Mus musculus: one gene and its partners. Each later gene encodes a partner of the first gene's protein in a complex. Links are inferred from orthologs where the notes say so. Each region holds a gene or a part of one and is shown in the gene's direction. Other genes may lie near its edges.

Region 1 (2,381 bases):
CTGGCTGTCCTGAAACTAGCTCTGTAGACCAGGCTGCCCCTGAACTCAGAGATCTGCCTGCCTCTGCCTCCCAAGTGGTGGAATTAAAGGTGTGTGCCACCACCACCTGGCATGATGCTTATTATGACAAAATTTAAACAGAAGAATTAATATTGGATGGAGCGGAACTCACCTCTAATCCCAGCATTCAGGAGGCAAAGGCAGGAGGATTGCTGTGAGCTCAGGGCCAGATCCTCCCCCCACCAAGTAAACAAAAGTACCCCCAAACTCCTGTATTTTCAAATTGTCTGTCATTGTCCATTCTCTTTGGCTGTGACTGCTCTTACCCCATTCCTAAAATGGTTTTTTGAGAGTACAATCTACATCAGGCTATACATGTATCCTTAAGGGATACCATAAAAGAAGTACAATTATCTTTTCTGAGTTGTTTGTAACGTGAGAAAGTGCACAACCCCCAACGTAAGGCAGTAATCAGCAGAAAAACACAGGTGACTAGAAAGAGAGGTGTTCTTTCTATCTATCTATCTATCTATCTATCTATCTATCTATCTATCTATCTATCTATCTATCTATCTATCTATCTATCTATCTAGTCTTGAACCACATCTGACTTCAAGGAATAGCTTTTGAGTGACCTAGAGCAAACAACCCCTCAATGGGTTGAGAAACGGGAGCCTGGAGCTCGTTGTGGGAGCCATTAGTGAGACTACTGGGGCTGACACTGATCACCAAAAATACTTTTCCCAGTGCCCAAATTCTAAGAGACAAAGCTGGGACCGCGGGGGAACCATGCTGCCACGTTAGCTTCTAGGTACAAGAGTTAATTTTCCTGGTTGCTTGTAGTTGAAACCCTCTTGGATTTCCCCTTCTTAGTAGCCCAGAGCCGTGGGATAACTCTCAGAGGCCGTTTGCCATCGTCCTACAGCAGCCAGGCAAAAACAAAACAAACAAAACAAAACCCTAAAACAAACTCTTTGGACTACTTGTTCCAGAATGCAACGCTCAGACTAGAACGTGATCACCCGAGAGCCACTAAGCGGACCATCATGCAACACTCTTCGAAGTAGGCGGGCTCCGTGAGGAGACGGCCCAGTGTTTCCTAGGCAACTCCAATCCCGCGACAGACGGCACTTCCGCTTCCGCCTAGGAAAAGACTGTCTACTCCTGCGTCTCGGTGGCGTCTTTCTCCCGCGCCTGCACGAACTGAGGTTTTGCGTGGCGGCGGCGGCACCGGCAGCGGCAGCGTCTCTCACTTGAACGCCGCGAGCGGCAGCTTCTCGTCTGTGTCCTGACCTCGGAGCCTACGAGCAGAGCGGCGCGATGACGGACCGGTACACCATCCACAGCCAGCTGGAGCATCTGCAGTCCAAGTACATCGGCACGGGCCACGCCGACACCACCAAGTGGGAATGGCTGGTGAACCAGCACCGCGACTCCTACTGCTCCTACATGGGCCACTTCGACCTCCTCAACTACTTCGCCATTGCCGAGAACGAGAGCAAAGCCCGCGTGCGGTTCAACCTGATGGAGAAAATGCTGCAGCCCAGCGGGCCGCCCGCGGACAAGCCCGAGGAGAACTGAGGTGAGCGCTGCCCAGTCTTCCCCGTGTGCCGGCTGCGAGCCTCCTTGCTCCTGCATCTCGACCATTCCGTGTTGGCTGTGTCGCCTGACCTGCGTACCTGTGGAGGATTCGGAACAAGTCATGGAGAGACTGTCCGGGTCCGCTCCTTGTGAACTGTGCAGAAGGAGTGATCCCAGCATCGGCAAGCGAGGGAGAAGACTGCACGAGAGTGATGCGCATTTCGAGTCTGCTTTTCGATAGTTGATGTCTTCTTGCCTTTTTAAAAAACCATATATATATAAAGTTTAGGGTTTGCTCTATTCTTTGGTATGGATTGCTGTGTTCTTTGGGAGGTTATTAGGAGAGGGTTCTGTGGATCAAGGTTTTGTGAGAGTATAAATAGGAAATGGGGGCAGAAGCACAGGGCAAGTCCTTAAGTCGTCACACACACTTTTATGATATTATCCCACCTCAATAGTCTTCACGCGTACAGTGTGTCTGGTCCCAAAGAAACCTTGAAGCGCGGAGATTGCCCATATCCCTTTCCTACCCTTCCCTTTATGCGCTACCCCTTACCCCTTTTTCTTGATGATTACCCTTTGTGTCTTCAGAAATGATAAACTGGCAAACAAGTGGTATCACGTCCCCATCCTGCTCAGCGCCCCATTCCCCCCACCCCTCTTCCCTTTTCACCAGAGCATTTTCCAAAGGTTTGAGGGCATACATTATGCCAGCTTGAAGAGTTTACAACTTTAAAAACCATGCTTACAATGCTACTTTACTGAGATGTCATTTGAGAACAGATTTTAAGGAATCAAGA
Region 2 (4,287 bases), on another chromosome or scaffold:
GGAAAAAAAAGGAACCAGGAAGCAAGCCCTGTAACAGTCTTCCTCTGTGCGCTTTGCCCCTCCCCAGATGGGCTCCTCAGCTCTCACAGTCTCTGCCCTTCAGGATGAGCTTTCTCACCTTCAGGAACTGTTAAGACAATGGACACCAAGAATATCTCCCGAGGACCAGAGCAAGAAAAGAGATCCGAATACCATCCTCTCTCAGATCTGCTGAAACTGTTTGTTAGCGTCGTTCTCAGAGGCAGGGCAGGGGTCTCTGCTCATCTTCCTGTCTGACCTTGACGCCTCAGCTTTGGCATTCCAGTCTGCAGAGTTCACTTAGAAGGCCCGTTTCTGTAGCAGATGGTGGCGCTACCAACCTAAAGGTCTCCCGATTTGTTTGATTTCTGGGGCTATTTTCATTTCTTGTGATTTGAAAACTAAGAAACAAGACCAGTTCAGAATGTGATTGCCCCTTTTCCCAGGCAATTCTGTACCTTTTGGATGGCCGTCAAAACTGTGACATGAGAGACCCTTTTCATCAGTCCCAACAATGATGTCCTAGAGACCTCATTCGCAACCTCTCTACACTACTTTGAAATCTTTTCTTAGTCTTCTGTGGGAACGAGGTGAATAAGGGAGAAACCGTCTCCTCCCACTGTATATTTTCATAGCAGCGTTTCTATTTAAGGAGTTCATTAAAGCACAGTATTTCTACACATTGCTGGTATTTTCTTGTGTTGAATGAAGATCTCAGCAAAGCCGTGGGGGTGGAGGGGAGGGTGTGAACTGAGAAAAACACCCAAATTATTGTAAGGAAATAAAGGATCCAAGTCAGGCGTGGCCTGGAAGAAATACACATAAAATATGGGGGAAGGGGTCCGCACACCTTTTTTGAGACATGGTCTCTATGTGTCTATTAGGCCAGCTGGAACTCTGTTTTTTGAGACAGGTTTTCTGTGTGGCCATGGCTGTCCTGGAACTCGTTCTGTAGACCTGGCTGGCCTTTAACTCAAGAGATCCATGTCTGCTCCTTAAAGCTTCGATACCAGCCCGCAACCCAACCCGGTTTCGTGTCCCAGATTTCCCAAGATAAGCGGAGATTTGACACTTAGGGGAAAACAAAATACCTCAGGCTCAAGTCTAGGCCGAGGGCGAGTCTGCACGAGCGTCGTGGACCTCACTAAATAATAGGTCGCTCCAGAAGGCAGTCCTGGCCCTGCACTTAGGACACAACTCTGCGTCACAGAACGTACAAAGCCTGGTTTTGCACTTGAATGTGCGTTTGGGGAGCCGTGTGAGCCTCTAACAGTCTGGAAGCATCCGGGGCTTTAGTTAACTGTGTCGAGACGGGCTGAGCACATCCGTTCCGCCCCGACTACAGCAGCAGCCCTAGAGCGCCTTTCCCTTCCGAAAGACAAGACTCCGACCCCTAAGATGGCCGCGATCGCTTCCGGCTCCTCCCCCCCCCCCCGGCGCCGGCCCCGCCCAACGTGAGCCTTGGCCCGGAAGTGGAAGTTGTAACTGAGGTCAGGGGGCGGTGCTGCTGCTTAGAGACGGCGGGAGCCCCTTCGCCATGGCTGCCGGACCGATCTCCGAACGGAATCAGGGTAATTGGGAGAGAAGAGCCCAAGATAGGAGCAGGGAAGTGGAGGGAAGATTAGTGCCGGAAGCGTTCCCCCTGGGGTGGTAGACGAGATCCCCCCCGGTGGGACACCGACCTCTGGGCACCTGGCTGGCCGCGAGGCCGGGTGCAGGCCGAGGCCTGTGAGAAGCGATGCTTCTAGATCAGCTCCCTCCACCAAGAAGACAAAAGCCTCCCGGGAGTACCGGACCAGCAAGAATGCCAAATTAGACGTAGCAGATTTTCTAGATGATGGTGGCAGAGGGAATTTCAGGGCTTTAGGCGACGGTTTTTGGTTTTTGTCTTCTTTTTCACTGCCGACTCCTCATCGCCTGCTTCTTCCCTTTAGATGCCACGGTGTACGTGGGCGGTCTGGACGAGAAAGTGAGTGAGCCGCTGCTGTGGGAGCTCTTTCTCCAGGCAGGGCCAGTGGTCAACACCCACATGCCCAAGGACAGAGTCACTGGCCAGCACCAGGGTGAGTAGGGTACGGGGCAGGAATCAGCCCTGGAGAGGGTTAACCGGCCCCGAAGAGGCTCAGCCGCTAGGCACAGCGCCTTTGGAATGAGCAACCTAAAGATTGCTTTCTCCTTCAGCTTCAATTCCCAGTTTCTGGAATATTTTCTCTTAGCTCTAGTTTCTGGAACCATTCTCAACCATTCTCTGTGTAGTCCTGGCTGTCCTAGATCTTGCTCTGTAGACCAGGCTGGTCACGATCTTTGAGCTCCACCTGCCTCTGCTACGAAGTGGTGGCATTAAAAGCACGTGCACGTGCAGTCGCCCAGCTATTATCTATTATGTTCTTTGTGTTTGAAGGCTGGGGAGTTAATGTTTCATTTTGAGTCTCTTCCCCTGAATGATGGGTTTTTTTTGTTTGTTTGTTTTTTGTTTTGTTTTGTTTTTTTCATTGATTCCCCAGGCTATGGCTTTGTTGAATTCCTGAGCGAGGAAGATGCCGACTATGCCATTAAGATTATGAACATGATCAAACTCTATGGAAAGCCAATACGGGTGAACAAGGCCTCAGCTCACAACAAAAACCTGGATGTGGGAGCCAACATTTTCATTGGAAATCTGGACCCAGAAATTGATGAAAAGCTGCTTTACGATACTTTCAGCGCCTTTGGAGTCATCCTACAGACCCCCAAGATCATGCGGGACCCTGACACAGGCAACTCCAAGGGTTACGCCTTCATTAATTTTGCCTCCTTCGATGCTTCGGATGCAGCAATTGAGGCCATGAACGGGCAGTACCTGTGTAACCGTCCTATCACTGTGTCTTATGCCTTCAAGAAGGACTCTAAGGGTGAACGCCATGGCTCAGCAGCTGAAAGACTCCTGGCAGCCCAGAACCCGCTGTCCCAGGCTGACCGCCCTCACCAGCTGTTTGCCGATGCACCCCCTCCGCCCTCTGCCCCCAATCCCGTGGTTTCATCCCTGGGTTCTGGGCTTCCTCCACCAGGTACAGCTTGGAGTTCAGACTGTGCCAGTGAGGCTCTTGGGAGGGAGGCTCAGGAGGCAGAAGCAGCCCTGGTAGAGTAAGCTGCTAAGTTGTTGGGCAGTGAGACAGGAGTGAGGCGTGCTGGTGGAAGGGATGAAGTTGGCGGATGAAGTTGGCAGATGGAGTGAAGCTGAAGGGAAGCCTGCAGGGGGGAGGCTGGAGCTCTGCAAGACATTAACTGTCTTCCATTTCTTACACAGGCATGCCGCCTCCTGGCTCTTTTCCACCTCCAGTGCCACCTCCTGGGGCCCTCCCTCCTGGGATTCCCCCAGCCATGCCCCCACCACCTATGCCACCTGGGGCTGGAGGACATGGCCCCCCAGCAGCAGGGACTCCAGGGGCTGGACATCCCGGTCACGGACACTCACATCCTCACCCGTTCCCACCAGGTGGGATGCCCCATCCAGGTAAGGGCTCTGTGCTGGGAAGGAGCTGAGCTTGTGAGAGGGGCTTTCTTACTGTCTGTCCTGGTAGTCTTGGATGAAAATAGTCCAGAGTCCTCCTTTTCTTCAGAAACAGACAGTACTTTGTACGTGTTGGTGCTCCTGTTTTATCTCCAGTTCTTGTATTTCCTAAAGGATAGCTTGTACTGGGCAAAACTCTCAACCTCTCCTCTGCTTCCAAGGTTGCCAAATCTAGAAGACATTTCTGCTTTTGGCTTTTTGAGAAACGGGTTCTCTGTGTAGCTGGCAGTGTCAAACTCAGAGATCCTCTTGCCTCTGCCTCCCAAGTGCTGGGACTAAAGGCGTGCGTGTTTCTAGATTTCTCTAATGTCAACCATAGCAACCTGGATCGGCTCCTTTTTTTATGTTTGTGTAGATTTTTTGCTTGTTTCTCTTTTCTTTGTTTCTCTGTAGTGTTAAATGTGAAGGTGCTAATTTACCATTGGTCTCTGGTCTTAGGTTCTTGGCAGGCTAGAAAAGGCCACTGCTCAACCCACACTTAACTTTCCTCTTTCTGACACCATCTTCAGTAGTTCTCACTTGTAGGAGCCCAGTTTACAACTCTGGGGCTTTGTCTGTTCTGTCCTCCACTTTGCAGAGCAAGTCTAGCTTATGTTTTTGTCATTGGTCACAAGCCAGTGCTCAGACTGCACTCACTTCCTGTCACTGACTCAGGGACTCATCTACTTTCACTGAGTAACTTTTCCAGGGTATTCACAGACATTTTCTTCTTCTTTTGT
Region 3 (4,300 bases), on another chromosome or scaffold:
GTAATTGCTAAAAGCAATGACCTCTCAACAAAAGTCATATTAATACTACACAAAACCAGGACAGGAAGCTGGGCGTGGTGGCGCACGCCTTTAATCCCAGCACTCGGGAGGCAGAGGCAGGCGGATTTCTGAGTTCGAGGCCAGCCTGGTCTACAAAGTGAGTTCCAGGACAGACAGGGCTACACAGAAAAACCCTGTCTCGAAAAAAACAAACAAAACAAAACAAAACAAAACAAAAAACCAGGACAGGAAACCTCATGTGTATCTAGCTCCACCTTTCTATAAACAATAAAGATTAGATATAAGCATGCAAGACTTAATCCAAATGCTTAGTATTTTACTTCTTCACTTCTCAAATAATAATAAAAATAATAATAAAGACCAAGACTATGTAATTCCTAAACAGTGATGAATCCAAGGAAGCAACAACATGTCAGGTTCAAATTCTTAGCGACCATAAGGAAGCATTTTTCTAAACTCATGGGGTGGTAAGCTTAATTTGAGATTTGAAAATACACTGAAAAATCCCCATCAGAAATGACAGGGAATAATGATCCAAGCTGGGATTTGGTAACAGTGAATGATTCCTTTCAGTCACCAGAAAGCAAACCAGAGAGTTAGAGAATATTTGGTGGAGATAAACTAACAGTAAGAATGGTTCTGATGAAATTGGTGTGTTCTGATAGGTGGACTGTAAAAGCAAGATAAATGTAGCAAAGAGGAAATAAAGGTAGAATACTTGAAGTCATTTCAAACTCTTGTATATTTTTTTTATGACCCAGTGTTCAGGTACCATGCATCTAGGATTTTAGATTTCAAATACTCTAACCCCATGAATACACTCAAACTAAGAGAGTCTATTTCTGCTCACTCTTAGGAAAATATGGATGCTGTATTTCCACCGATGGTTAATAGCCTTGAAACACCATAATGACAGAATCCAGACAGCTCGCTGAGGTCCAAGTAATCCTAGCTACCGAGGTGAAAGTGTGGGGTGTGAATAATTCCATCACCTTGTCACCCCGCCCCACCTCCCTCGCCGCACATATTCTTGCTATGTTCGAAGTCCTCCGGAGCAGGGAGAGCTATCTATCCTTTTATTAACCTTTCGCACAGGTTGGAAACCTTGGTAATCTACAAACCAAGTCTGCCACTCAACACCTCTATCGCTGCACCGGCAACTCGTTGGCAGGATAATGCTTTAGCAACCTGTAAGCAAACCTGTAAGAGCTCTCTAGAACTTTCCATCCTTGAGTGAGGGCCGCTTCTGACTGCTGGGGCAGAACCCTTGCATGCTCAGCTTGCTTTAACCGAGTTAAAGGGGTGCACTAGGAATTCCACGGTAGGGTCTGAGGATACACTAGCCGTGGTGTGGATGCACACGCTGCCACTCCACGCCATGCCCGCAGGGGGCCCTCGCTCACGCCTCAGCTCGGGGTCGGTGGCAGACGATGTCCCTGCAGGAAAAGGTGTCAGCTGACCCTAGTCCCACGAGACGTCAGTGGTGTCCGCGTCCCGCCAGCGCGTTACCTGCAGCAGGTGAAGCTGGGCCACGAGGCGCCGCGGCAGATGCAGGAAGCAGTCCCGAGCATTCGTGAAGGCCACCGTCACGACCGCCCCACCAGACCCCGCACCCGCTAAGCGATCGCTGCTCCACATTGTCCCAAGGTTCAACTCTCACCGGAGAGCGGAGTCCACCGGCTTCTCGTCAGGTGAGAGCGTCGGAACCCGAGAACATCGATCAGGCCCGCCCCCCTCTTCCCACGCCCGGCCGCTGTCACCCTCGGGCCACCTCCGAAGCTCTAGGGGGCGGCACGTCGCTCGTCGAATTCTCGCTCTCAGGAGATGATCGTCGATGGGGTCGATCCTTCAGCCAATCCTAGCACGCCTGGTCCATCCTGCTCTCTTATTGGACTCAGAGGAGCGCGGCTGGCGGATGTTGTTCTGGCGCGGGGGACTAGAGCCGGCAAGATGGCATCCAGTGACGGGAAACCTGGTGGCGTATTCGATCACCACGTCCAGACGGCTGTGTGTGACTCGCGGGCCAAATACCGGGAGGGCCGACGCCCTCGCGCGGTCAAGGTAGAGTGACTCGGATTCTTCTCTCCCCTCGGCAGGGACACTAAATTCCTGTGAGCACTAGCTCCCCAAGGCCTGCCTCCATAAAGGCATGGCAGGGATGTTGTGAGATCCATCTCTAAGTGGAGGGGGCACGAAGAACCCGGGCCCCGGTACCAAAGGTTATCACTACCCTCGGTTAGCTGCTTACCAAACCTCCAACCCACTATTTTTAGCTTTGTATCCTATGTGTTTACAATAGCGCTTCTCACAGGGCAAGCCCAGGGTGAGTGAGTGTTCAGTGGCTGTTTACATTAACCTCTCTGGAGTCAGCTTTTGGAAAAGACGTCTGTTAAGTGGTTTAGTCAGATACCCTTATGTGGAGTGTGGTAGTCTTTAGGCAGAAGAGTGACAGTTTAGTGTGTATGTTTTGCAGACCGGATTGTTTCTTGTTTTCAAAGCTCCATTTAAAAGGGGGTGGGAGGACCGATTTGCCATAGGCTTGTTTGAAGAGTACATTTAACGAGGTCTCCTTTGACTTTAGGTATATACAATCAATTTGGAGTCTCAGTACTTACTAATACAAGGAGTTCCTGCAGTGGGAGCCATGAAGGAATTAGTTGAGCGTTTTGCTCTGTATGGTGCGATTGAACAGTATAACGCTCTAGATGAATACCCAGCGGAAGATTTTACAGAAGTTTATCTCATTAAATTTGTGAAATTACAGAGTGCAAGGTATGTACAAGTTAAGCAGAACTCCTGTTAAAATCTTATTCCTGTTGCTGTCATTTTGGCCCCAACTGTTTCCCAAATGTACCCAAAGCACAGAAGCACTTCTTGCTCTCAGTCTTCCTGATTGGGGGGAGGAGGGGAGGGGACAGGGTTTATTTGGATAGCCTTAGCTGTGCTAGAATTAGTTCTGTAGACCAGGCTGGCCTTGAACTCAAAGATCCCTTTGCCTTTGCCTCTGACTCTCGAGTGCTGGGTTTAAAGGTATGCACCACTCCACCTCGCCTTCCAGTTTGTTTTTCACCAGGCCTCACATCTGCGACTTAATCACTCTAACAGTGAGTGACATCCCAGCTCTTCCTTCAAGCTTTTAAAAGGCTGACTTTACAACAATACTCTTCCCATCCTCTCATACCTGTGCTTGGCAAATTTTGAACCTGTAGTGTGGTAGATTAAGAATTACGTTTGAAGTAAATTATCAGTCCTGTGGATTCATGACTGTGGAGAATTTTAGTCCTCCAAGCAAATTTTTGTTCTTTTCCTAAAATCCATATGGCAAAAAGGACTACTTCTTGAGGTTCACTGAGCAAGGATGAAATGGGACAATTTATGTAAAGGGAGTAGACTGGTACCTCCTATTAAGAGGAAATAGTAGAGCCGGGCAGAGGTGGCACATGCCTGTAATCCTAGCACCAGGGAGGCAGAAGCAGGTGGACCTCTTGAGGTGGAGCCAGCCTTGTCTACAGAGTGAGTTCCAGGAGAGCCAGGGCTACACAGAGAAAACCCTGTTTCCAAAAAACAAGCAAACAAACAAAAAGTAACTATTAGTAATGACAGTTCTTATTTGTATAGTTCTATGTTAATCAACTTTGTATTCCAATAAGGAATGCTTTATTTTATGTTAACCCCTTTTGGCGGGGGGGGGGGGGGGTGCATGTGTGTGCATATTCCTGTGTGTGTATGTGTGTGTGTGTGTATGTGAGTGAACACTAGCCTGAAACTGGCTGTGTAGACCAGCTGACCTAGAACTCAAAACTTCCTCCAGACTCTGCCTACCCATCTCCACCAGGTTCAAAGGCTTGTGTGCACTACAGTGTACTCTATCCTATTTTTTGAGGTTGGGCCCCTCCCTCACTGAGCTCATTGGCTAGATTGGTGACTGTCAAACTCAGTGATCCTTCTATCTCTACCCTGTGAGCACTGGAATTACAGGCACAGTGCGGTGCCTGGCTTTCACGTGCATGCCAGGGGTCTGAGCCAAGGCACTCCAGCAAGGGCTTTTCCACCGGAGCAGCCTTCCTAGCTCATGTTAGCCATTTTTTCATTTTAATCACTAACCTTATCTAAACCATATCTTTTTCTGGCTTTTGCTATTCATAAACTTTTTTTTTTTTTTTGGTATGGAAAAAGACTTCAAATCCCCTGGAGCTGAAGTTACAGGTGGTTGTGAACCACCCAAGATGGATGCTGGGATTTGACTCTGCTCTTCTCAAAGATCAGCAAGTGCTCTTTT
Region 4 (4,128 bases), on another chromosome or scaffold:
TATTCTGATCAGCCTCAAAAGAGAATATTACATGTTGTCTCTTACCTTAAGAGTTCCATACTGCCTCTAACCACAACATTTGGGAGGCAGAGACAGGTGGATCTCTGTGAATTTCAGGCCAGCCCGCTCTACAAAGTGAATGCCAGGAGAGTCACAAGCTCTATAGTGAGACCACGTCTCAGGGGGAAAAAGAGAGTTCCATGCTTCTGAATTGGTAGAATAAATATTGTGAAAATGGGTATACTTCCAAAATTAATTTGCAGATTTCATGCAACACCTTTCAAAATTCTGATGTATTTCACAGGTTTAGAAAAATAACACAAGAATTGATATGGAACTACAAAAGACAATAGGTAGAAAAGAAATCCCAAGGAATAAGAACAATGCTGATAGCATTATAGGACCTGACCTCAAATTTTACTATAGACCTATAGTCATAAGGACAGCCTGGTATTGCTATAAAAGTAGACATTAATATCAATGAAATAGAATAAGAGAATCCAGAATAAAATGCCAAAGCTATTCCTATTTAATTTTTGACAAAGGAAGCAAAAACATATATTGGGAAAAAAATAACCTACTTAAGAAATATGCTGGAAAAACTGAATTTCTATCTGAAGAAGACAGAAATTATGTGAGTGCAAGTGCCCACAGAGGCCAGAGGAGGATCTTCTGAAGTTGGAGTTGTGAGCCACCTGTTTTGGGTGCAGGTTCTCTGGAAAAAAATCAGCAAATGGTCTTAACCACTGAGCCACCTCTCTAGACCTTCAAGCTAATTTTTTTGAAGCTCAGTTTTTTTCCTCTGTAAAATGGGGATGGTAACTGTATTTCATGGGGTTGTTGGGCGGTCAGCCTGGTCTACAGAGCGAGTTCCAAGACAGCTAAGGCTACACAAGGAAACAAACAAGAGATTGAATGAAAAATGCAAATGGCAGAAAGTGAGCCGCCCCCTGGGAGGCAGAGGTTTAGGGTAGGGGCAGGGTGAGGAGTGCTGGGAGGAGCCAATGGTGTGAGCCTTAGCCTGGGGTTTGAGATCTAACAGAGATAACGTGCATAAATTGTCTCTCATTCACAACCTTTAAGTTCTCTAACTCTTTAGTTGATAGGTACTAGTTTGACAATGCTAATTTTTGCCTGCTTGTTTATACGTGGGCATTTAATTCCGACTGGCAGAGGAACACAGGGTCCCCCCATCGCTCTCCATCAAAAAGGGGGCGGGGACTGACTTGGGAACTGTCCCTCCACAGGAGCGAATGCCTGAGAAAGCACCTTCACCTTACTGCGCAGGCGCCAGGGCTTAGCGGGCCGGAACTTCCGGCGGAAGTTCCGCCTCGCGGGCCCCGTGCTCCAATCTGAGCTGGGTGTTCGGGTCGCGGGAGCGCTTTGGAGCCTCACCCGGAAGCTGTTGTCGTCTGAAGCGAGCCGCGCGAAGATGCGAATATGAAGTAAGGATTCTGTTTCTCTGCGGATAGGGGCGGGAGTGTTCTCCGCGGAAGGGAGAGTGGCTTGAGGATGGCCGCCCAGAAAGGGCGGGGACCGGTCCTCGCCCTCCGGGCCTCCGGGCGGGAGAAGCTCGGTAGGGAGAGGGCGGGCTGGGAGGAAAAGTACTTATCGCACTTACCGGCTTGCCTGCCACCCGCGCAGCCCTCTGACTAAGGTGAAGCTGATCAATGAACTGAATGAGCGAGAGGTTCAACTTGGAGTGGCGGAAAAGGTGTCTTGGCACTCGGAATACAAGCACAGCGCCTGGATCTTTGTTGGTGAGGTCCCCATTTTTCTCCAGCAGTGCCTTTCAGAGTCCGCCCCGTCCCTTCCCCTCCCCTCCCCATCCCTCTCCATCCCTCTCCCCTCCCCTCCCCTCCTCATCCCTCTCCTCTCCTCTCTCCACCCCTTCCCCTCTCCTCCCTATGCCCCCTCCCCCGGTTATTTAGTGCCCCTGGTCATCGCTTCTGAACAAGCTCATCACCTCACACTCTGGAAGCTCCTCTGCTCACAGGTCCACTTTTCAGTTGCCTTCAGCGCTTCTTAGAATTGGTATTTGCCTTTCATTCTATTCAAAACCTTGCTACTTGGCTGCTCAGAGACAGTTCATTCCACAGTCAACCTATCACGATGTCAAAGAAACGGAGGCGCAGACAGGTTACTGGACTTGCTTAAGGTCACATGCTGCAGCACTTCAAAACTGTGGGGCTTGTGCTCTTCGTCACGGTCACATACCGATCGTGTGTGTGTCTGCCCTTCCTCACAATGATTTTTCTCCTCTCCTGGGCTTCTGCTCCTAGTCCTTAGCTGTACCGTGATGTACCTGGTCAGACATTAGCTGGATTTGAAGACATTAAGGCTTGATTCAAAATTAGCTTTACTCCGGCTGAACATTTGAAAGGCCACCTGAAAATGTGACAGGATCAGGGAAAGCTACTTCTGATGAAAAGAATAGAGTCTGGAGTACACCCCTGGCCCTGGGTAGATACCAGGACATTTTCAGGAAACCTACATGTTACATACTAGTGTGCCCCTTCCTTCAGACATAATCCAACAGAGCTTTAAGTCATCTGGCCAGTAGACACCTGTCAGGAAAGCTCAGTCACCGCCAGACACGCTAGGGACACGGGAGGGAAATGATCCCCAGTGCAGGTGGTGCTGATGTCCGCCCTAAGTCTACCTGCTGCTCTGAGGCCTCGCTGAGCCCCACCTCTCCCTTTCTTTCTGTTCTCTGGGTGCTGGCGGAAATCCTGAGCCTGCTTGCCCCTAACACGCTGGGCTTTCTCATCTCACATCTAAATGTTTTCCTGTCCCTTTGCGGCTACTGCTCTGTCCCCATTTTTGTGCACTCCTGCTTGCTCCACCTCCTAATTCTGAAGGCATGGCTGCCAACCCTTCTGTAGCTCCCTCCTCCCTCCTCCTCCCGGTAGCTGGCGAATCTTACACCTTGCCTCCCTATCAGCTCTCCCTCAAATGCTAACACAATGGACCTCAAGCTTGCCCTTTAGTCTGTTTTAGAATTATTTTACCAAGATTAGAGACTGAGAGCCTTTGTAAAAGGGGAACTCTTGAGTCTCTGGGGACAATATTACCTTTCGTGTATTCTCTTTATGTCACAACCAAAATCCCGCAGTTTGCCTTTTGAAGGGATTGTGTTAAGCACTTTATATGCCTCATTTTAGTTTATTTCCATAATACTCCTGTGAGGCAAATATGTTAACGTCCCCTTTTTGCATATGAAGGAGAACATTGAGGAACATGTGAAAGGCTTCCTGTGAACCGCTTAGCACTTTCCTTGATACATCCTAGTTTGCACGTGGGGGGCAGTAACAGTGTATTGAAGTCAGTGTTTATGAAATCTGAGTCTTGTGCTGGAAATCATGTGCTTTATAGGACTTTGGGTATGAAGACTCAATGATAAGATTAATTTGGTAATTTATGACCCTAGCCTTTCCCCTCAGAGTTAATTAGTTTTTTTCTTTTTCTTTTTTTCTTTTTGAGGCACAGTTTCGCTCTGAAACTCACTGTGTAGACCAGGCTTGCCTCGAACTCAAAGGGATCTGAGAGCTAATGACTTTTCTTCCAGACAACTGTCATCGTACCCACTCTGTCATTGTATTAGGCTGATAATTTCCAGATCAAGGCTTGTTTAATCTGCACCTCCAGTGTCTGGCCTAGTGCATAGCATGCAGTGAATGCTTGATTAATGCTTGTTAAACTGGAGAATGTGTGTTTTCTTCCAGGAGGGCTTCCTTATGAATTGACAGAAGGCGACATCATCTGTGTGTTCTCACAGTAAGTCCTCTGTTAGTTCCTATCTCCTGGATGCATGGAACAGTTTGCTTCCATAGTGTATTTTTGTAACAGCAACAAAGCATTTCAAGCTGGGTGTGGAGTTGTACACCTCTAATGCCACTAGACAAGTGCCTGAGATAGGAGGATCACTTGGGGTCTGCCTAGGCTCCATAATGCATTCCAGGTCAGCCTGCACAACTAAGTGAGATCCTGCGTCAAAAAGCCACCAAAGCTATTTTAATTCTAGGGATGTCTAATGACATCCCTCCATGGGGAAGGCTAGACCCTAGATCAGTCCCAGAGAGTTACCCCATGGGAGATCCCAGAGCTGAGATCGTTTGAGAGTCTGTC
Region 5 (3,500 bases), on another chromosome or scaffold:
TGTGGCCTTGGCTGCCCTGGAACTCACTATGTAGATTGAGCTGGTCTTGAACTCATAGAAATTTACCTGCCTCTGCCTCCAACTGCTAGGATTAAAGGTGTGTTTCACTTCTCAGCTCATCTTGTGTTGAGACAAGAGTCTGTCACTAAACCTAGAGCTCAATGATGGGCTAGACTGGCTTGTCAGTAAGTTGCTTCCGTCTCTACCTCCAGTGAAGTACACTGAGCCACTGAGCCATTTTTCTAGCACCTATTATTTTGAGGTGTGTGAGTGTGCGTGCATGCATGAATAGATACCTGCCCTTAGAGGCCAGAGGTGTTAGGTTCCCTGGTGAGTTACAGGCAGTTGTGAACCACCATGTGAGTGTTAAGAACTGAGCTCAAGTCTTGTATAAGAGCAGAATATATTCTTAACTGCCTAGCCATCTTTCTGAACCCTACCAGAAGATTTTTTTTTTCTTTTTTCTCCAAGATAGAGTTTCTCTGTGTAGCCCTGGCTGTCCTAGAACTTGCATTGTATACCAGGCTGGCCTTGAATGCAGAGATCTGCCTGCCTCTGCTTCCCATGTGGTGGGACTAAAGGTGAGTGGCACCACTGGCTAGCAACTACCAAAAGATTCTTAATTTAGGGCCTGGAGGTATAGTTCAGTGATGAAACTAGCATATAGCATATATAAGGCCCTGGGTTTGATCTCTAGTAACACATAATACATTCTTCTTTCTCGAAACAACAGCAATAAAAAATTTAATTCATAGTAATATAGCTTTGTTTTTGTTTTTGTTTGCTTTGTCTTTTGTTTTTTGAGACAGGGTTTCTGGGTGCACAGTCCTGGCTATCCTGGAACTCGCTTTGTAGACCAGGCTGTCCTCAAACTCACAGAGTTCCACCTGTCTCTGCTTCCCTCTCAAGTACTGGGATTAAAGGAGTGCATCGCCATGCCTGCTGTAGTAATGTAGTTTTAATGGTAGGTATACATAGATGAAATATTTTCCAAATAGGTTATCTGTTTTTTATTTCATCTTTAACAGATATCTCACAGACAAGTTTTCGCCGCTTACCTTTTGACCACTGCAGGTGAGAGCTTCAAATCCTTCTGTTTTCCCTTGGCTTTGGTTGAGTATCATTTCTCCCAAAACAGGTGTGTGTGTTTTAACTGCAGCTTGGGCTGACCTTGAACTCCTGAATCTCCTGCTGCTACCTCCCAAGTATTAGGATTATAGGCTGCCATCCTTGCATATTTGCATAGATTTTTTAAAAAGATTTATTTATTTATTATATGTGTGTACACTGTAGCTGTCTTCAGACACACCAGAAGAGGGCATCAGATTTCATTACAGATGGTTGTGAGCCACCACGTGGTTGCTGGGATTTGAACTCAGGGCCTCTGGAAGAGCAGTCAGTGCTCTTAACTGCTAGACCATCTCTCTAGTGCTTGTTTTTTTTTTTTTTAAAGATTTATTTATTTATTATATGTAAGTACACTGTAGCTGTCTTCAGACGCACCAGAAGAGGGCATCAGATCTCTGTTACAGGTGGTTGTGAGCCACCATGTGGTTGCTGGGATTTGAACTTCGGACCTTTGGAAGAGCAATCGGGTGCTCTTACCCCCTGAGCCATCTCACCAGCCCCTTGTTTTGTTTTTTAAGGTAGGGTCTGTTTTCTGCTCTGGCTTCTGACTGACCTGGAACTCATTAAACTTAAAAAGACTGACGTGCCTCTGCCTCGAGAACACTAGAACTAAAGGCTTGAGACCAAGAAAGGGCGATCAGCAGTGGCCCAGGCAGCTCACAGCTGCAGACACATGTGAAGCGTAGCTGTGGTAGCTGAGGCTGCTGTAGGCCTCCACCCCAGTCCATGTGCCCAGCATACGTCAGGGTGGTGTACAGACAGTACCACAGGGGCCTCATTAAACCCTGGGACGGGGAGGATGCCCCGGGGCGAAGCTTAGTCTGACTGCTCTATGAGGGTCTGGAGAGGGAATCCCAGCTTGCTTCCTCAAGGCCATCATGAGGCACCTCTTATGTGACATGAAGTGGGCTGCTGCTGCCTCAAGTACTAAGGCAGCTCCTGGGACAGCAGCTTATCCTTATGACGTGGTGTCAGGGACAGAGGGTACTCAGAACTGTGGAGCAGGTTGTGGGACCCAGAGCATGCTCAGTGTGCCTAGAAGCTGACGAGGGGTTTCTGTTCTTTTCAGTCTCTCTCTCCAGCCTTTTGTCTACCCAGTCTGCACCCCAGAAGGTGTCGTCTTTGACTTGCTGTGAGTTTACTCTTGAATTTTTAAATTTCTTTTTATGTGTGTGTGTGTGTGTGTGTGTGTGTGTGTGTGTGTGTGTGCCTGCCCACCCAGGTGCATGGTATTTGTGTATGTGCAATTGTGTTCAGATACATTTATATGTGGAAGCCAGAGGTCAATCTCATGGGGCTTTCTCTGTTGTTCTTCATCTTATTTTTTTGAGACAAGACCTTGTCAGTGAATTTGGCACTGTCAGCAAGACTGGCTGACCAGCAGGCTCCCGGTTCCACCTGTTTCAATGCCTCCAGCTCCCACTAAAGTTACAGATAGGTGCTGTCTTTAGCTGGCTTTCTTTTTCTTTAGTTTTTTGTTTTTTGGTTTTTTTTTTAGTTAGTTTGTTTGTTTGTTTATTTAAGTACACTAGCTGTAGTCACCATCAAATCCCATTACAGATGGTTGTGAGCCACCATGTGGTTGCTGGGAATTGAACTTAGGACCTCTGGAAGAGCAGTCATTGCTTTTAACCATTGAGCCATCTCTTCAGCCTCATTGTGTCTGGCTTTAACATGGGTTCTTGGATGGAATACAAATTTCAGGCTTTTGTGCTGTGGAGAAAGTCCTTTATCCACTAAGTTGTCTCCCCAGCACTCTATATTTAATTTTGACTTAATAAATATGACAGGATTCTTGATACCAATTAGAGAAAGGAATATAGAGTTTGTGGCTCTAAGCAGGGTCAAAGTTACTAAAATCTTGTCCCTAGAAATCTCATGACATCTAGGTGAGCCTGTTTGGTAACTGGGAGGGACCACCAGGCCTCAGGCAGCACTAGCTGGCAGATGCTGTTGCAGTGGAGTGAGTCCTTCTCCCCCCTGTCTTAGAGGCCAGCTGCTTACAGATGTGCAGTAGAGGTGTGCTGGATGGTCTCTGCATGGTGAGAGATGCAGAGTCCCCTGCATTGCACTCTGATGCACTGCACCCTGTTGCATGTTCCAGCTAAGCTTGTTTTACATCCTACATTTTTTTCTAAAATTTGCAAAATAAAAATAAAAAAATAAAAAAATACTTGAATAGAACAATTTACCCCAATGACGTCACTGTCCAGGATCATCATTATGCCCTCTTAGCCCTGTGCACAGATTTCTTTGGTGAGTGCAGAGGGTGGGGGAGTCTCACTGTAGTGCCCTGGCCTGTGTTCAAATGACTTCCCATTCTCATACATCTCCCAAGTAGCTAAGCTTACACCACACTTGGCTTACTGCCA
Region 6 (4,288 bases), on another chromosome or scaffold:
ATATGTGTGTGTATATATGTATGTGTGTGTATGTGTGTGTATATATATATGTGTGTGTGTATATATGTGTATATGTATGTGTGCATGTGTGTGTATATATGTATGTGTGTGTATGTGTGTGTGAATGTGTGTGTATGTATTGTATGTGTATGTATATATGTATGTGTGTATGTGTATGTTTGTATGTGTTTTGTTTGTTTGTTGTTTTGAGATAGAGTCTTATCACATAGCTCAGGCTGAACTTGAACTTGTTCTCCTCTTGCCTCCATCTCCTAAGCGCTAGGATCACGGGTGTGAGCCACTTTGCATTGCGCCGATGCCTCTTTCCTGGTGCATGCACTGTCACACACTTGTAATCCCAGCTCTCTATACTGATTCACTCTCTGCCCCTACTCTGTTTGTTTGTTTGTTTGTTTGTTTATGTTTCGTTTGGTTTGGTTTCATGAGACTGGATCTCTATGCAGCCCTGGCTGTCCTGGAACTCACTATGTAGACCAAACTGGCCTAGAACTCACAAAGATCTGTTTGCCTCCACCTTCTGCCTCTTCTGCCTCTGCTTCTTCCTCTTCCTCCTCTTTTAAGGAAAGGCAGTCTAGATTTCATTTTCTAAGCCATACAGTGGCTAGGTGTGGTGGCTCATACCTGTAATTCCAGCAAGTGGTAGGCGAAAAGCAGAAAAATAAAGAATTACATGGAATTGGGGCTGGTGAGATGGCTCAGTGGGTAAGAGCACCCGACTGCTCTTCTGAAGGTCGGAAGTTCAAATCCCAGCAACCACATGGTGGCTCACAACCACCCGTAATGAGATCCGATGCCCTCTTCTGGTGTGTCTGAAGACAGCTACAGTGTACTTTACATATAATAAATAAATAAATCTTTTAAAAAAAAAAGAATTACAGAGAATCAGAAGTTAACCTGTGCTGAACAGCAAGCATATCATTGCTTGAGTGTACCACGTTTTTCTTAAAGACTCCTCTGCCAATAAACAAAGGTTGTGTTCAAATATGTATGAGTTTTATTAAGAACAAACCCACCACCATCTCCACTTTACTGACAAACACACTAAAGTCCAGACAAGGGGAAAACATCACCAGAGGTCACACACTGAAAACTACTGCTGCTTCCAGTTCCCCTTTCCGTTCTGTATCCTTCAACTTATCCGTTCCTGCTAGTGTGTCCCTGCCGGCCCAGCTTTCTGCAGCAAGCCCCGGGCAAGCCAGCTGTCTCTCAACCTCAGCCTACAGGATTCTTGCAGGCTTCTTAGAGACAGCCAGCTTTCAACGCGGAGGCAGCGCTCCTTCAGACCCCCAGCCAGCAGGGGGAAGCGTAGCCACGGTCGCGGATAGCACCCGCTTGCTCTCTTCGTGGTGTTCCTTTTTTCTTGAGTCCCCCAAGACACTTCCGGGACACGCGGAACTTTGGTGCAGCCGGATGCTGCGCGCTGAGACGCTGGCTGAAAGGCGGCAGGCGGTGTTTCCGGCAGTGTTAGTGGTCCGCCTTGAAACGCCGTGGCCAAGGGAAAATGGAGACAATTTTAGAGCAGCAACGGCGCTATCATGAGGAGAAGGAACGGCTTATGGATGTTATGGCCAAAGAGATGCTTACGAAGAAGTCCACGGTGAGTGAGCCGTGGTCCGGGCCGCATCAGGAGGCGGGCCTGGGTCCTTTGCCGAGCCCTCGCGCTGTATTTGGCCTCGGAGCTTCTCTGCGCCCCATCCTCACCCTCCTCCTAAGCTGGCTCGGCACTCTGGCCTCGTTAACGTCCTCCGAGGGCCCCTCAATCTTCCTGCTTCAGCCCCTGGGACCTAAACCAATAAGCGCATCACCCCTCGGGTGCTCTTTCCAACTGCTAAACTCAAAGTAACAACGTATGTGTTACCGTTTGCCTTTCTGCAGCTTCGGGACCAGATCAATTCCGATCACCGCACTCGGGCCATGCAAGATGTGAGTGCGCCGCCGTCCGCTTCCCCTGGGGTCGGGCTGGGCGGGAAAAGTGCAGGCTGGGAAGGTTGAGTGGCCCTGCGTGATTTCTACCCCTGAGTTCTTAGACAAGCCCCTCTAGGGTACCTAATCAGATGTCCTATCTCTGCCTCCCAAGTGCTGGGATTAAAAGTGTATGCAACCACCTCGGGATCAAGCTGTCTCTTAAAAGTGGTGGAACTTTGAAGACCATGTATCTCATGAGTTTTCCTTGGGTTTTGCCAAGACATCCTTTCTTGTTTACTTAGCCCTGTGGTACAAATTTGCTTCATTCTGATGGCTTTGCGCTTCTGTTTCAGAGGTACATGGAGGTCAGTGGGAACCTGAGGGATTTGTATGATGATAAGGACGGGTAAGTGACGGTCACATCCCTTCTAACAATTAGTGCTTTTGAGGAGCCCTGGTGAGACCATGGGCTGTGTGCTTTATGCTCTTCGGGTTTGTTGATATCTTGCAGACTGCGGAAGGAGGAGCTCAATGCTATCTCAGGACCCAACGAGTTCGCTGAATTCTATAACAGACTCAAGCAGATAAAGGAATTCCATCGGAAGCACCCAAATGAGGTAAGGCCTCCCAACTTAGTGTCCTTAGACCTGGCCGTTAACAAAAGGGAAAGATGCAAAGGAAATGGAGCTATGCCATGTAGATGTCACTCCAAGAAAGAACGTGCCACTTCACTGCATGTTAAGTGACATCCTCTTGGCATCCCTCTGCAGTAAGAGAACACGGTGAAGCACTAGGGCTGCTTCACAAGAATGTCTCCTACTCAATATACTGTGCACCTAGCTCTGCCCTGAAATCTACCAACACAGTGGTGCTCTGTTCACTTGCAGAGGTCGTTACCCCTTCAGGATTCATGTCCAATGCCAGCTTTTTCGTAAAATATCTCTTGGACTGCCTCCTCCAAAGGAGCCCTTCCTTAGCATGCTGTGTTTTGTGCCAATCAATGTCTGCCCGGCTATGCAGCAAGGGAAGTGGAGAACACTAAGTAGGCAGCTCTGTACACTCAAGGTCAAAGCCAAAGCAAGTCTTAGAAGCCCAGGCCTGTGTGTGCCTGAGACATCGCCAGGCCCACCTGAACTCTTCTCCTTCCCTCAGATCTGTGTGCCAATGTCAGTGGAATTTGAGGAGCTGCTGAAGGCTCGAGAGAATCCAAGTGAAGAGGCACAAAGTAAGTAATGGTTACTGTTTCTTCCTGGGGCTTCAGGCCATTCTCAGCTATAGAGCTAGGACCTATGGCTTGGTTTTTTTTGTTTTGTTTTGTTTTTCAATCTGTTTTTATTTTGTCTGTGTGGGTAATTTGCCTGCATATATGTTTGTATACCGTGTGTGTGTGTGTGTGTGTGTGTGTGTGTGTGTGTGTGTGATGGCCTCAGGAAGCCAGGAGAGGGAATTGGATCCACTCCGACTGGAGTTACAAATGGTTTTGAGCTACCGTGTAGGGACTGGGACTCAAACTCAGGTGCTGTGCAAGAGCAGCCAGTATTTCTAAATGCTGAGCCACTTCTCTAGGTCCTAGAACGTCGTGTCTCTAAAAACAAATAAATAAAGGCTGATTGTGGTGGAGTATACATTTAATCTCAGCTCTCAGTAGTTCTCTGAGTTAAATAAATGCCAGACCTTTTATTTTTTTAATTGTATGGTGAGTTAACATCTTTTTTTTTTTTTTTAATTTGTTTATTTGTATCTGCATTGGTGTTTTGCCTACATGTATCTGTGTTTGAGGATGTCAGATCTCTGAGTGGAGTTACAGACAGTTGTGAACTGCCATGTGGGTGCTAAGAATTGATCCCAGGTCCTAATGAAGGCCACTCATTGCTCCTAACCATTGAGCTATCTCTCCAGCCCCATTTTTTTGTTTTGTTGTTTGTTTTGATGTGACAAGGTGTCTCTGTATAGCCCTGGAACTCACTCTATAGATCAGGTTGGCCTCGAATTCAGAGATGGCCTGCCTCTGCCTCTCTAGTGCAAGAATTAAAGGCGTTAAAAGTGTGTACCACTGCCCAGTTTGCTTTCTCTCTTCTTTTCTTTTCTTTTCTTTTCTTTTCTTTTTTTTTTCTTTCCTTTTCCTTTCCTTTTCCTCTCCTCTTCTCTTCTCTTCTCTTCTTTTCTTTTGTTCTTTCGTTCTTTCTTTCTTTCTTTCTAAAAGATGGGATCTCAGGGCTGGAGAGTTGGCTCAGTGGTTAAGAGCACTGACTGCTCTTCCAGAGGTCCTGAGTTCAATTCCCAGCAACCACATGGTGGCTACAGTATGCTCATATAAAGATAAGTAAATCTTTTTTTAAAAAGAAAGAAAGAAAAAAAGGGA
Region 7 (4,262 bases), on another chromosome or scaffold:
ATCTTTCAGAGCCTCAAAAAGAAAATTCCTGTAAAAATTTAAATATTTGTGACTGGTTTCTACAAAGGGGACATGTGCCAGACACCAGCAACTAATTTTACTTTTTTGGCGAAAATCACTGCAGTTCCCAAATGACAGCCAAGTATACACTTAGATATGCAAATGGTGGAGGACCATCTTAAGATGGTCATTATGCTACACTAAGGGCTCACACTGTCTGTACAGATGTTAAATAATGGTAATAGCAGAACGCGAGTGGGAGGAGAAACAATAGTTTCCAGTCTCTAAATACATATATTTGACCTAGAGAACAGTTTCTATGTTATACTGACTAAAGTTAATTAAGAACTTAAAAGTAACACATGTTACAATGTAGTAAAAATCGGGCCCAAAAAGTAACATCCACACCGCAGGGTGAGGAACTAGCAGGAAAGGTAAAAGCGCAAGTCTGGGCATGGTGCTATTAGCCCTCATTTCATTCACACTTATCGTTTTCAAAAGCAAATGATACTGATTAAGAAAACTGGATGAACAAGTTAGCAGATACGGCCAAGGTTACACACGCACAAGCCATTTCAAGCATCGCCTCTTTAAACAAGAAGAAATCCTCCAGGGTCGGGACAAGAACGCATAGCCGTGAAAAGACTTGGGGAAAGTTTCTCAGATTCTCCCTTCCACTGCGGGGTCAGGCAGGAAGCGCGATCAGAAATCCATCCTAGGCCACCGGCAAACACCCATCTAACACGGCGAGCGCGAGCGGTACCCAAACGCAAAGGTGACACCGGCGAGCGAGTCCCCGACCCAGGACACCACACCTGGGAAGCCGCCCTCGGGACTCGCGATCCCGTGAGAACGGGGTCGGAAGGCTTGGCTGCTCCCGAGCCCTCCTCCTGAGCAGCCTTTGCTCAGGTGCGGACCGCAGCTCCACCCCACCCAGGTGGCTCCGTCCCAGCCTCGGACGGCGCAGTGTGGGCAACTGGAGGTCGCCATCATAGAGAGAGCCCGTGCGGCCGACCCGGTGACCTGAGGTCGGAGTCCCCTGAGAGACTGTGATAGACGCCGGCATCTCAGAGGGTCGGTAGCGCAGGGCATCCTCTGGTCCGCCGGAAGCGTGGCGCCCTGGAAGTCACCGCAGCGGTCGGCGGTGCGACCTGCACCCGCCCCGGGCGAGTGTGAGAAGCAACCCGCCACCGGCTTACCTAACTCTCCCGCCCGCCGAAGGGAAGGGGGACACCACCGCCTCCCACCCTCAGGTGCTACAGGCTGGCATGGCCCCTGGCGCAGGCGCAGACCAGAAAGCGAGGGGGCGGGGGGAACTCACAAGCGCACAGCCAATCGTTGACGAGAAGGGGCGGGATAATGAGAGCAGCCCCGCCCATCAGCTCGCGTTTATCCCTCCCGCGACTTTCTAGGTACGGGATAGGCCGGAGCGGGAGGGCTGAGAGTCCGGAAGCGGGCTGACGTAGCCGGAAGAGGAAGTCGTCTCCGCTGGGGCGTTGTTGTGTTTGGGTTGCTGCTCCTGCTTTGCCGGCTGAGGGCACAGGGACACCCCCATGTAAGGATGGTGTGTGAAAAGTGTAAGTTCAGGGGCTGCTTCTGGGGGAGGTGGAGGGCTGAGAAGTTCTCTCGGGATTTCTCTGGTTTTCCCCTGCTGGTCTGTGGCGTAACCGGTGTCTTCCTACCCTGCCCCTCGGCCCTTCTTGCCTGTCCCGTAAGCATAGCCTTCCGCTCTGTGTTGAGAATGGCTTCAGTTCTGCGCCTCTTGTGTTTGTTTCTGTTGTCGTCCTCGCGCCCCTTCTGGGTCTCCTCCGTTACAACTTCTTGATTGGCTCTCGGAGGCTTAAATCGGATCTTCACGATCTTTCTGGTAGCATCAAGAGTTGACAGATGTCACAAGTATAAGTTCCAGGCTCTCGGTTACATCTTAAGATTATAAGCAATGGTTAATTTCCAGTATTATTAATATGTCCCGAATAATGTTTAAATCTTGACTTTCTGCTTTTCCTTACTACAAAACATGCCGCATTTAATACAGATTTTATTTATTTATTTATTTATTTTTGGTTTTTCGAGACAGGGTTTCTCTGTGTAGCCCTGGCTGTCCTGGAACTCACTCTGTAAACCAGGCTGGCCTCGAACTCAGAAATCCGCCTGCCTCTGCCTCCCCAGTGCTGGGATTAAAGGCGTGCACCACCACCGCCCGGCTAGATTTTATTTTAAAAATTACTTCAGTGGCTATCTGAAATTAAGTTAAATTGGATATTTTGAGCCATCCCGTCAATTCATTAATACTCACAGCTTTGGGTCAGGTGAAGGAGAGAGTCTCATCACCACCAAAGAAATCTTTAAGTAGTCACCCCTGGCTTTTAGAAAGGTCTTTTTAACCCTTTTAGTTACCATTCAGTAATTCCAATGAAACCCTTAAGATTTGTTGTAAATATTTAATTTTTTTTTTTTTGGTAGCTGCAAAAGCTGATGATTCGTTTAAAAACAACTTTCTTCTCTTGATCTCTTTCATGGGCTAGACAGCCTTCTCTGACAAGATTCAACCCACATCTCAGTTACTGGCGGATATACAGGACCCATTTTGTTCATAGCCCCTCAGTATGTAGAACTCTGGACACAGACACCCCTCCAGAGCTGTGCCATTCTTAAACGGTTTTTTATTCTTTTCGAAAGTGGGATAAATGGTTAATTAAATGTGGCTTAAATGTATTTAGATTGTGAAGCCGTCCTTTGTGCTGTGCCCTGAAAGGTCATTTCCTCTGCTCTTCTGAGAAATCTAAGGTCTTATTATCTGTAGCCTCTCAGTCTGTCTGCTCATTGCATGCACCCCGTAAGTAAACTGAGGTACTTGCATACAGAAGCTGTAATGTCAGCAGCCGCCTCAGTTCAGTCTTCCCTTGTATCACACATTATTCGAGAAAGTTACTTTTCTCCAATTTTTTAGAGTTACCTCTTAGAACTTGGCACGTACGTGTTCTCCAGTTGTGCATTTACTGAGTTCCAGGGAGTTTGGTTTCAGTGTGCTTTCTTTTCCTTGTTCTGTTAGGTGTTTGAGGACTGTTTGGCCTCAGCTGGCACATCCATACCACTGAGCATCCAGTGCTCTTCTCCACCCTGAACAGTGCCCTACTTAAACAGTACTAAGTAACTGTCCATTTGGAGCATATAAATACAATATATTTATCATTTTAAATTGCTTTGTTTTCATCAGAACCTTGCATGGTGCTTTGTACAGACTAGGTGATTAGAGAATGTGAGAGAGAGGAATGAATAAGTTTGTCAGAACTGCTTAAAGTATAATCAGTTAAAGCCTGTTACTAGAGCATCGTTTTGTCCTGTAAGTTTTATTTAGAACCAGTATCTGTTGCCCACTGTTACTATCTTAAGTTTTCATTCATTGGTTTCTACCCTGGCATTAGTAGGTTCCTCCTATAATCTGACTTCATATCGTTATGTACTTTAGGCGATACAATATATTTATCATTTTAAATTATTATTGTAAAGTTAGCAAAGAAATGGGTTTTGTTATTTTATTTCCACACAGTTTGCTTATTAGATGACAGCTGTTCTCTTTTGCTGTCTTGGCGACCACAGGTGAAAAGAAACTCGGCAGAGTTATCACTCCAGACACATGGAAAGATGGTGCCCGGAACACCACAGGTACTGTTTGCTGTTAGGAGACAGGAGCTGGGTCAAGCGCTGTGGCCCTGCTCTGGTGCGTCACATTTTGCACAGTGCAGTGTTAGATGCTGATTACCTTGCCCAGTAAACACCGAGGGCTCGGTTCTCCTGGGAGTGCACATCTTTCTTCATCATCTGAGTTACATGTACGGATTCCTCATATAGTCAAGAAGTAGTAAAATTATTATTTCAATGTATGTCTATTTGATTCAGATTGGTAAAGTCTGTGTTTACATTTCCTTCCCACATCTAAGTTTTACATTCTCAAACAAATTTAGACTGCCTTACTTTTTTTTTTTATTAAACGCATACAGCAAAGCCCAGTGCAGTGATGCATGCCTTTAATCCCAGTACTTGAGAGGCAGAGGCAAGCGGATTTCTGAGTTCGAGGCCAGCCTGGTCTATCTACAAAGTGAGTTCCAGGACAGCCAGGGCTATACAGAGAAGCCCTGTCTCGAAAAACAAAAACAAAACAAAACAAACAAACAAACAAAAAAAAACCAAAGTAGACAGATGTTACACATACAAAAAGAGTGTAGGCATTGTCAAAGCACTACTTTAAGACTGAACAATAA

Evidence for each region.
Region 2: Sf3b5 (region 1) and Sf3b4 share a complex: the UniProt entries of both Homo sapiens proteins name them as parts of the SF3B subcomplex of the 17S U2 SnRNP complex. The link is inferred for Mus musculus from reciprocal best matches to the Homo sapiens genes SF3B5 and SF3B4.
Region 3: Sf3b5 (region 1) and Rbm48 share a complex: the UniProt entries of both Homo sapiens proteins name them as parts of the minor spliceosome. The link is inferred for Mus musculus from reciprocal best matches to the Homo sapiens genes SF3B5 and RBM48.
Region 4: Sf3b5 (region 1) and Rbmx2 share a complex: the UniProt entries of both Homo sapiens proteins name them as parts of the minor spliceosome. The link is inferred for Mus musculus from reciprocal best matches to the Homo sapiens genes SF3B5 and RBMX2.
Region 5: Sf3b5 (region 1) and Ppil2 share a complex: the UniProt entries of both Homo sapiens proteins name them as parts of the minor spliceosome. The link is inferred for Mus musculus from reciprocal best matches to the Homo sapiens genes SF3B5 and PPIL2.
Region 6: Sf3b5 (region 1) and Sf3a3 share a complex: the UniProt entries of both Homo sapiens proteins name them as parts of the 17S U2 SnRNP complex. The link is inferred for Mus musculus from reciprocal best matches to the Homo sapiens genes SF3B5 and SF3A3.
Region 7: Sf3b5 (region 1) and Cript share a complex: the UniProt entries of both Homo sapiens proteins name them as parts of the minor spliceosome. The link is inferred for Mus musculus from reciprocal best matches to the Homo sapiens genes SF3B5 and CRIPT.

Annotation. Positions count from the first base shown.
Region 1 is NC_000076.6:13,007,303-13,009,683, forward strand, and holds Sf3b5 (splicing factor 3B subunit 5), read left to right. Parts: upstream 1-1,147; 5' UTR 1,148-1,320; coding exon 1,321-1,581; 3' UTR 1,582-1,881; downstream 1,882-2,381. UniProt on the Homo sapiens protein: Component of the 17S U2 SnRNP complex of the spliceosome, a large ribonucleoprotein complex that removes introns from transcribed pre-mRNAs.
Region 2 is NC_000069.6:96,171,019-96,175,305, forward strand, and holds the start of Sf3b4 (splicing factor 3B subunit 4), read left to right. Parts: upstream 1-1,487; 5' UTR 1,488-1,555; coding exon 1,556-1,589; intron 1,590-1,952; coding exon 1,953-2,081; intron 2,082-2,522; coding exon 2,523-3,065; intron 3,066-3,304; coding exon 3,305-3,511; intron 3,512-4,287. Other genes in the region: Mtmr11 (myotubularin-related protein 11), read left to right, coding at 68-214. UniProt on the Homo sapiens protein: Component of the 17S U2 SnRNP complex of the spliceosome, a large ribonucleoprotein complex that removes introns from transcribed pre-mRNAs.
Region 3 is NC_000071.6:3,593,748-3,598,047, reverse strand, and holds the start of Rbm48 (RNA-binding protein 48), read left to right. Parts: upstream 1-1,500; 5' UTR 1,501-1,530; coding exon of another isoform or gene 1,531-1,659; 5' UTR 1,660-1,845; coding exon 1,846-2,082; intron 2,083-2,602; coding exon 2,603-2,793; intron 2,794-4,300. Other genes in the region: Pex1 (peroxisome biogenesis factor 1), read right to left, coding at 1,531-1,659. UniProt on the Homo sapiens protein: As a component of the minor spliceosome, involved in the splicing of U12-type introns in pre-mRNAs.
Region 4 is NC_000086.7:48,693,676-48,697,803, forward strand, and holds the start of Rbmx2 (RNA-binding motif protein, X-linked 2), read left to right. Parts: upstream 1-1,328; 5' UTR 1,329-1,440; coding exon 1,441-1,445; intron 1,446-1,644; coding exon 1,645-1,760; intron 1,761-3,725; coding exon 3,726-3,777; intron 3,778-4,128. UniProt on the Homo sapiens protein: Involved in pre-mRNA splicing as component of the activated spliceosome. As a component of the minor spliceosome, involved in the splicing of U12-type introns in pre-mRNAs.
Region 5 is NC_000082.6:17,104,753-17,108,252, reverse strand, and holds part of Ppil2 (RING-type E3 ubiquitin-protein ligase PPIL2), read left to right. Parts: intron 1-1,028; coding exon 1,029-1,074; intron 1,075-2,197; coding exon 2,198-2,260; intron 2,261-3,500. UniProt on the Homo sapiens protein: Has a ubiquitin-protein ligase activity acting as an E3 ubiquitin protein ligase or as an ubiquitin-ubiquitin ligase promoting elongation of ubiquitin chains on substrates.
Region 6 is NC_000070.6:124,713,373-124,717,660, forward strand, and holds the start of Sf3a3 (splicing factor 3A subunit 3), read left to right. Parts: upstream 1-1,488; 5' UTR 1,489-1,522; coding exon 1,523-1,618; intron 1,619-1,896; coding exon 1,897-1,944; intron 1,945-2,279; coding exon 2,280-2,332; intron 2,333-2,437; coding exon 2,438-2,543; intron 2,544-3,078; coding exon 3,079-3,151; intron 3,152-4,288. UniProt on the Homo sapiens protein: Component of the 17S U2 SnRNP complex of the spliceosome, a large ribonucleoprotein complex that removes introns from transcribed pre-mRNAs.
Region 7 is NC_000083.6:87,024,099-87,028,360, forward strand, and holds the start of Cript (cysteine-rich PDZ-binding protein), read left to right. Parts: upstream 1-1,462; 5' UTR 1,463-1,561; coding exon 1,562-1,577; intron 1,578-3,600; coding exon 3,601-3,666; intron 3,667-4,262. UniProt on the Homo sapiens protein: As a component of the minor spliceosome, involved in the splicing of U12-type introns in pre-mRNAs. Involved in the cytoskeletal anchoring of DLG4 in excitatory synapses.